Linked DNA regions of Mus musculus: region 2 is reported to be linked to region 1. Evidence: microRNA targets listed by miRTarBase, many of them from high-throughput screens and not tested one by one. Region 1 holds a microRNA gene; the other region holds the end of a gene's coding sequence.

Evidence for each region. Region 1 holds the annotated microRNA mmu-miR-5136 (AUAUGCGAGGGAACUACUGG, at 1,687-1,706, opposite strand). A microRNA usually pairs through its seed, bases 2 to 8, with sites in the 3' UTR of a target mRNA and lowers its output. Matches are read on the target gene's strand: a 7mer-m8 pairs with bases 2 to 8, a 7mer-A1 pairs with bases 2 to 7 and ends in A, and an 8mer does both.
Region 2: the mRNA of Septin3 is a reported target of mmu-miR-5136. Seed matches in the 3' UTR shown: 7mer-A1 at 1,615-1,621.

What each region holds. Positions count from the first base shown.
Region 1 is chr19:8,887,023-8,891,407 of GRCm38, forward strand. It overlaps Mir5136 (microRNA 5136), which reads right to left and starts at 1,752; the gene lies at 1,677-1,752. Lbhd1 (LBH domain containing 1) reads left to right here. Exons shown (of 6, transcript NM_001286103.1): 3 at 13-228; 4 at 2,102-2,226; 5 at 2,981-3,078; 6 at 3,389-3,737. The coding sequence ends at 3,419. 1810009A15Rik (RIKEN cDNA 1810009A15 gene) reads left to right here and starts at 1,861. Exons shown (of 4, transcript NM_025463.3): 1 at 1,861-1,942; 2 at 2,102-2,226; 3 at 2,981-3,078; 4 at 3,389-3,737. The coding sequence starts at 1,904. The coding sequence ends at 3,498. It overlaps 5730408K05Rik (RIKEN cDNA 5730408K05 gene), which reads right to left and starts at 1,748. Exons shown (of 1, transcript NR_027866.1): 1 at 1,365-1,748. It also overlaps Snora57.
Region 2 is chr15:82,290,441-82,294,825 of GRCm38, forward strand. It overlaps Septin3 (septin 3), which reads left to right. Exons shown (of 12, transcript NM_001368785.1): 10 at 1-15; 11 at 298-391; 12 at 813-4,134. The coding sequence ends at 866. Among named protein-coding and RNA genes, the nearest start is that of Wbp2nl, 6.4 kb to the right of the region's middle.

The sequences.
Region 1 (4,385 bases):
CTCTTCTCCCAGGTTGGGCCTGGATCCCACAGGATCCCACATCTCCTTTAAGAACAATAAACCCTGGACTTGGCTGGGGTCAAGAACAAGATGCCTTCTGGATTCCTGAAGATACAGAGGGTCAGGAAACTCCCAATCTCTGTCCTCTTTGGGACCCAACAGGGTCCTGCATCTATAGAACACGATTTATGGAATATCCCCATTTCCCACCTCTCAGTACTTTTGGGGGTAAGTATTGGTGTTTTTTTTTTTCCTCCAATTTCATCTCCATTATTATTGTTTTCAAAGCTCTTTGGCTTACTCTAAGCTGCAGGACACACAATTCACACCAGCTCTGCAGTTCAGATTGAGCCCAGCCAGTAATGATGTCAGGTCTCCCCACCTGGTAACCCAGTATTACCCTCAGGCTCCAGGTTTATGAACCAGGACACAAATTGTGCAAACCAGGAAAACACTCTCAATTACTAGCTATTCATACAATGGCAAAATTCCAACTCTATGTTTGACCAACAAAAGCAGAATGGAAACTCTCAGAAATCTTTTGAGATTTAACTGAATGTCTTATAAGGCCTTAACTTTTATTCTTTGGTCTTTCGAGACAAGGTTTCTCTGTATCACCCTGGCTGTCCTGGAACTCACGCTGTAGACCAGGCCGGCCTTGAACTCAGAAATCTGCCTGTCACTGCCTGCCAAGTGCTGGGATTAAATGTGTGGGCCACCATTGCCCGGTTTAGGGCTTAATTTTTATACCCAGTCCAGCCATTGGATTTTTTTTTTCTTACTTCTAGTAGGGCAGCTGAAAAGGAGGGTCCTTGAATCCTCAGGCAAATCTCGCTTAGCAACAATTATCCCTGGAGAGCTGTGAGGAACCTAAGGATGCTAGGGCTCCCAGATTCTGCACTGGGAATGGCAATGGCCTCCTTGTATAAGGCTGTTTATGTAGGTCCCAGCACGGAGACAAGTCCACCCCGAGAACATCCACAGGGCATGCCTGTGGAGGATTGAGATCCTAGTTTTACTTCCAATATCTTAGTGAGAAAGCTGTGCCTACCGCCAGTTTAAATGCCAGGAAGCTTGAAGATAAGGGTGCATGCTACCCCAGGTTAGTTCTGCTGATTACACGTGCGCACCATTACGCTAGGCTTTTTACCATAACTACAGGTTTGATTCCCATGCCTTTAGGAGCGCACTTTCTATACTCATAAAGATTTACATCCTGGTTGAGATTTAGCTTATTAAGTCCCCCCACAAGATCGACCAGAGATCTTTAGTGAATAGTCACTATCACTCCCAACATGTGCTTTCGGTCCTAAAGATTTGCAAATTACGAGTCGCAGAAAAAAAAGGTAGCGAACACAGGGTCCTTAGGGTTCACAGACTTTATTGATTCAATAATAAACAGCAAAGAAAATGTTAACCATCACTCCGGGAGCGTCAATGTCGACCTAAAATAAAATAAAAAGCGTTGAGTAACCCAGAGGGGACTGCGGGACCTAGCTACATTTCTGCACGGTTAAGTGTTCCGGCGTCTGAGGATAGAACCCGCGAACGGGAAGCCGCAAGCACCGAAGACATAACGCCGAGAGGGCCAGAGCCCTTTCTTCTACCTCCGTACATTACGGGGAGCGGGACCGCACGCCCGGTCCCCGCCAAGAAAAGGAGGATCTACAAAGTCAGGCCCAGTTCCCAGTAGTTCCCTCGCATATAAAGACAAAATCAAGACTCACGTGAAAACCACCCTTGGAAAGGCCCCGCAACGCGCGGAACAACCTTATATACCCCTGGTGCCCGCCTCCAAGCTGCGATTGGTTCGGAGGCATCAGAGGGCGGGGTCTTTTGCGTGTGGCGGAACCTGTGAGCGGAGCGGAAGTGCGGCTTTTGGAATGAGCCGCGGAGTGTAGCCATGGCACCTCCGGGAGGAAAGATCAATCGTCCCCGGACGGTGACTGAACTGTGGGAGTGGGAACTGCGTCTTTGTTTCCCTTTGCTTCCCGGCATTTTCCTCTTTGGAAACAGGATTAGTTAGGGGCTGGGGTTGTTAGGTGCGGAGGATCCCGGGTGGGTGTGCAGAACCTTACATGCGCATCTTTTTCTTCCGCAGGAGCTGAAGAAGAAGTTGTTCAAGCGCCGCAGGGTATTAAGCAGGGATCGGCGACGGAAACGCCAGGTGGTCGGGGCTGTGATAGACGAAGGGCTGACTACGAAGCACCACCTCAAGAAGCGGGCGTACGTACAGTATTATCCTCCGGTTGGACATTCCTACCCACTTCCTACCAGGTTTCAGAGCATCCCAGAGGTCTCCAAATTTCTTGTTCTCTTTCACGTTTATGCAGCAACTAGTTGAGAGTTATGTTAGTTTCCAAACTACTAGCCTCTTATGGTATCATTGCTCACAGGATTCTGATGCTGTTGTTGATTGTTTTGTCTCGGGTTTTCAAGCAGGGTTTCTCTGTAGCTCTGGCTGTTCTGGAACTTTCTGTGTTGACCAGGCTGGCCTCTAACTAAGAGATCCACTTACCTCTGCCTCCCAAGTTCTGGGATTAAAGTCCTTCACCACCCCCACCACCCCCCAGCTGCTCACTGGATTTTTTTTTTTTTTTTTTTTTCAAGACAGGGTTTCTTTGTGTCGCCCTGGCTGTCCTGGAACTCACCCTGTAGACCAGGCTGGCCTCGAACTCAGAACTTACTGACTTAATACTATTGAGGTACATATTGAAGTCAAATTGTTAAAAAGTCTTAAGTGTTAAAGAGTTCCCTGAGGACACCAGAGCCCATTCAGTAATTTGAATGCAGAGACCTTATAAAACAAAAACTGGGCAATGATGCTCCCATTTAAATTCCAGTGCCAGGAGACTAAGACAGAAAGGTTGCCTGTTGGCTAGCCTGGTCTACAGAGTGAGACCTTTTCTTAGCTGGGGTCATTTTTGAGGCTCAGTTTGGTACAAATGAACCTGGATATTTTTTGTTTCCTGTCACTCAGGTCCAGTGCTCGTGCCAACATCACGCTGTCTGGGAAGAAGCGCAGGAAACTCTTGCAGCAGATCCGACTTGCCCAGAAAGAAAAAGCAGCCATGGAAGGTAAGTCTTGGGCACAGAGGCTACACAACAAGAAGTCTGGATTTTACCTGGGTTTTATCTTTTTTTTTTTTTTTTTTTTAGGATTTATTTATTTATTTATTTATTTACAGTGTGTGCACTGTAGCTGTCTTCAGACACTCCAGAAGAGGGCATCAGATTTTTGTTATGGATGGTTGTGAGCCAGCATATGGTTGTTGGGATTTGAACTCAGGACCTTTGGAAGAGCAGTCGGCGCTCTTAACCACTGAGCCATCTCACCAGCCCCTGGGTTTTATCTTTAATGCTTTCTTTTTCCTTTCCTTTTGTTCAGTGGAAGCCCCCTCCAAGTCAACCAGGACTAGTCAGCCACAGCCCAAGCAACAAAAGAAGATAAAAGCTCCCCAGGACGTAGCTATGGAGGATCTTGAAGATAAGAGCTAAAATCCCTGCCTCTTCTACCAGAAGATGGTCAACAGCACTGAGAAAGATTTGGAGGAACTTTGGAAAAAATATTAGCATATTTCACTTTCCTAGACACCTCTTCTACAGCGGACCCTGACCTCCCCTGGAGGTGTATATTGGGACCGAAGAGGACACAGAGAAAGACTGGAGGGCCACCTCTAGCAGTCAACTCCTTTTGTAATAAAGCTTTAGTGCGTTCACCGTGTGGGATGAAGTGCAGCAGGGATGAGCCATGTAGAAAGGCCTTTGCGTGTGGGTGGAGACACTTCAGAAGAAGGACACATTGTGCAACAAAGGCGACAAGAAGCTACAAAGTGAAGGCATGGTGGCGCATGCCTTTAATCCCAACATTTGCCAGGCAGAGAGGCAGGCAGATCTCTGTTCAAGGCCTCACATTGAGTTCCAGGGCTTTATAAGACCCTATCTTTTTTTTTCTTTTTTTTTTCTTTTTTTTTAGTTTTTGGTTTTTCGAGACAGGGTTTCTCTGTGTAGCCCTGGCTGTCCTGGAACTCTCTGTAGACCAGGCTGGCCTCGAACTTCAGAAATCTGCCTGCCTCTTCCTCCCGAGTGCTGGGATTAAAGGTGTGCGCCACCACTGCCCAGCTGTAAGACCCTATCTCAAAATGAAACTGGTTAGCTTCTTCAGTGCCCTCCCCCCCATCTTTCTAAACACTTCCAATTCTGCATTTCTGGAACATACAGACGATTAAGGGTGGTAGATAGGGAGGAGAGGGTCTGATCATAGTCCACACTATGTTTAGCATTAGAGTTAAGTAAGGAACATTTCTTTTTGGTTGTGTTTAGGGATTCAAACCCAGGGTACCTGCATTCGAGGCAACCCCTGTGCCATCTACATCTTGAGGGCC
Region 2 (4,385 bases), not on the chromosome of region 1:
AGACTTCGTCATCAGGTACGATACGCCCCCACACTCACCCAGCTGGCACATTTAATTATTTATGATCAAAGGCCATCTGCCCAGATTCACTTCCTGAATGTCTGCCCTCTCTAACAGAGCTCTCTATCCCAGTGCATCTCAGAGGGGTTGTAAAATTGACATTGGTCCTCAAGGGTGGGTCCCAGTCATTGGGTCCAGTCTACTGAGGAGATGTGTTAGCCTCTGAGGTGGACCACCTTTTCCTCTTCTGATCCCTAATCATATCTGCTTCTCTTTTTTTACTCTGTGTCCCTTCAGGACTCACCTCCAGGACCTCAAAGAAGTAACACACAACATCCACTATGAGACTTACAGGGCCAAGAGGCTCAATGACAATGGAGGCCTCCCTCCGGTGAGCGTGGACACAGAGGAAAGCCACGACAGTAACCCGTGATGAGCCCTTCTCTGTGTTATCATACATATCCCCCTTCTCCAAACACACACACATCCTAGATACCACCTCCAGCCACCACCTCCTCTCAGCTCTGTCCCCCAGGCCTGTCTGGTATTTGTGCAGTATTTTGTCTAGTGTGTGTGTGTGTGTGTGTGTGTGTGTGTGTGTGTGTGTGTGTATGTATGTGTGTATGTGTGTGATGGAGAGTGCCTGCGTGTATGTGTGTGTGATGGAGAGTGCCTGTGTGTGTGTATGCATGTGTGTGTATGTATGCGTGTACTCAGGGGTGAGGTATTTTCATTGCCCTCTTTGGAAAGTCCTTTGTAAGTCTGCTTTCTCCATGACTCTCCATTCTGTCTCCTTTTTTCTTGTGCTCCAGAACAAAAAGCTGTGCGCCTCACTCAAGAGGTCTGGGGAAGGTTTTAATTTATAATGCTGGGAGCAGGTGAGCCACAGGCAACTCTTTCTTACTTCTGACCCACCCACAAACTGGGGCTGCAAGTATTCTTCATGGACTGGTGGCTGAGCTAGCCTGTGGTGGGCTGTGGGAGCTCAGAACAACTTTTCACTGTAAGTTGAGGTAATCTGGAGGAAGGCTAGGACTTCTTGGGGAAACAGAAGATTCGTGGGGAGCAGAGAAGAAAGCTGAGGGGCTCCTGCAGAATTGGTGTCTGAAAATGGAGCTCCACCCTTGTGTCTATGTTGGGGTCACTGTCAAACAGCGGATCATCACCGCTGCAAACCACTGCTTTCTGTGCCCGCCTTCCCTGTATTTCCAGGCTGGTTGGTTGCTTCCTCGTCCTGATTTCTCTTCTCCCTCCCCAGCGTCCTTTGCCTCCTTTCTTCATATATATTCATGCATTCACCCCATTTCCTGCCTGTCTCTGACCTTTTATCTCCTTTTAGAGTCATCTATGTTAGCTTCCTTTCTATATTTAGAAATCATGCCCAGACTTTCTAAATTGACTTTCTATTACCCTAAGATAGAATCACAGCTAGGGGCTGAAGAGATGGCTCTGTGCTTCGGGGGACCTTTTGCTCTTGCAGAGGACCCAGGTTCAGTTCCCAGCACCTTCTTGGTAGCTTACAGTTATCTGTGACTCCAGTTCCAGAGGACCTGACACCCTCTTTTAGCCTCTATGAGCATGGTGTACATACATACACATAGACAAGCACTCATACGCATAAGATAAAAAAAAAAAAAACCCTTAAAAGAATAAGATCCTAAGTAAAAGCATGGGGCAGGGCATGCCGAGATTGCAAGAGAATTCAGTTATAGAGAAGATGACTAGGAAAGCCAGTTTCTGCAGCTGACCACTGAAATTTGCTCTGACTTGGGAATAGCCTGGGGAAATGGGAGAATTTGGTAGCTTGGGCTGCTCTGGGTGTTCTGTTCAAGAAGCACATCTATTGGGCAAATGAGGCAAACTTTAGGTGGAGGAAATTATATTCACAAACTAATTCTGAAGAATCGGAAAAAATATACAGAGTTTCTTAGGCGGCTGGACTTGTGAGACAAACTAACACAGTTTCCCGTTTTCTAGCAGCCTTCTGTCCATGTTAAGCTGGCTTCTCTGTGGCTTTGTTTCTTACAAACCCAACTCACTCTTTCTCTGTTCTCATTTGTCTGTCTGTCTTTCTCGGCTTCTCCCCTCCCTGCATTCTCTCACCATCCAATCCTGTAGATGTTCCCAGGAATACCCACAGCCATACATTTAGCCTTCTCTTGCCTTCTCAGGAGCCTTGTATTTATTAATGCATACTTTAACTGCTCCTTGCACATTCAAGTTTTTTTTTTTTCCCTACAGTTTCTAAGGCTGCTTTAAGGAAAGCCATTTAGCCATAGGAAAGGGAAGATACCACAAAATTCTGTTTAGAACTGATCTATCCACTATGCCACCTCCCGGTCCAGCCTGGGTGTAGAACTGGTCTTCACTGACTTCAGCCCTTTATTACCCAGTCACTAGGAAAACAAACACACAGACAAACAAAAAACAAAAAGAGATGGAAGACCCACAATTCAGTGGACCAAGCAGAAGTGGTCCTAATCCTATGGTCTTAGCCTTTCCTGGAGACTGCTCTGTCTCTAGTCCTCATCTATAACGTCACTAAAGAGTGGCCAGCTGTCAGGCTAGAGTGGTAGCAACATAGAGCTCGCTGACAGCTCTAGTGAGCTGCCCTGTATGGTGACATGGGATTGGGCACCTAGGGCCAGCAAGGGATAAGAATGGTGGGTGTTGGAGAGTCTAAGTAGGAGAATGCTGCCTGTCTCCACTAAGCTGTGGTCTCACTCTCCCTGGAGAAGCTGTTTTATGTGTCTGCTGCCGGCTGCCGGTCTCCACACCCTCAACCGTTCTCAACTCCCCCTGCAGGGAGAAGGCCTCCTGGGCACTGTCCTTCCACCTGTACCAGCCACCCCCTGCCCCACTGCTGAATGAAGGCCATTTCAAGTGCTGCTTCTCCCTCATCCCTCCCAGCTGTTATTGCTGCAGGGCCACGCCCCTTTTAGCGCTGTGCTTGTCTAGCCCACCAGCACAGCCCCTCTCAGCCCTCAGTAGGTGGGAGGGGCTAGCTGCGGCTTTAGGACAGTTGCTTCCTCTGTTTAGCCAAACTACTCCTCTCCTCCCAATGGAATGGAGTTCCTGCCAGCACCACCCTGCTCCATCATCTGTGTCAGCAGCACCCCAGTCCTTGTGTAGGGAGGAGGAACTCATGGGAAGCTGCTCCTGCCCTTGCAAGCGCATACCAGCGACTTGTAACTGTCTCCAAGGGAACCGGCATTGCTCTCTAGCCATTCATTCTGCATGAGTACTTTCTTGGCTACCTTAACCGGTCAAGAAAGCAACTTTCCTGCTTGTCAGAGTCACTGAGGTCAGCCGTGTGAGCCCCTGTGTGGGACAAGGGTGTCTCCTTCATTGCTTAAAGGTATTTTATAAGGGTGATTCATTATACATGGTGGGGAGCCAGAGGCTAGTGTCACTTAAAAAAAAAAATCACCACTGGTGGCTGGCCCAGTGAGTATGTGTGTAGACAACCTGTTTACCCCAAAATATGGCCATCTGGGAAGTGGGTTTTGCTGAAAAGAGGTTGCTGGAGTTGACTTAATTATCCCCAAACTTTAAAAGAAAGGGAATTTAACACACATATGGACTACCCCAAACCCACCAGCTATACACTCTAGGAAGAAAAATAGCACCCTTTTATACATTTAGCAATAAGAGGGATCTCTTCCCACCTCCCCTGACTATTCCTACTCCCATCCCCCACCCTGTTAATGTGAGCAATGCATTAGCCTGACCACAGGTGGTCGCTATAGGCTAATGGAAAATACCCAAATGGAGGGCAAAGCCCCCATCAGATGCATGAATGTTTGCGAACGAACGGCTGCCACTGCCCCATACACTGTGTCTTTCTAGAACCCTCCCTCAGCCACCCCACCTGCCATCTCCACCTGGACACAACTTGCTCAAAGGCTGGTGACTTGTGGGCCATTCATCTACAAGTCCTGAAGGAACAAGAGGCCCAAGCCTCGGGGATGCAAGAATGGCCCATTTTAAAAACGTTGTTAGTCCCAGCCGACGTTTTTGGTGATATTCCAGTTTAGTTTCCCAATTGAAAACAAGCCAAACAGACACTCAGACTGGTCATGTAGATGTTGCTAGCCTCTGTTGTACAACTAAACATTACTGTTTGAACAATAATGGCCTGGTCTTTGTCTTATTCGTGTTTCTTGCTCCTTGATAAAATCAGCCGTGAATGACATCATCTCACTGCGTGTGAGCCAGGGACCCTCCTGGCAAGGCAAGAAGTAGCTACAGATATTAGATATTGAACATGTGGCATCTATTCATTTTTTGGGTAATGTGAGGCTATATCCCAGTCATTTCCTGGAATTTTGTAACTCTAGTGAGCGGGAGAGCTGACTCTCTTAGGACCTGTGTTTTTCCAGGAA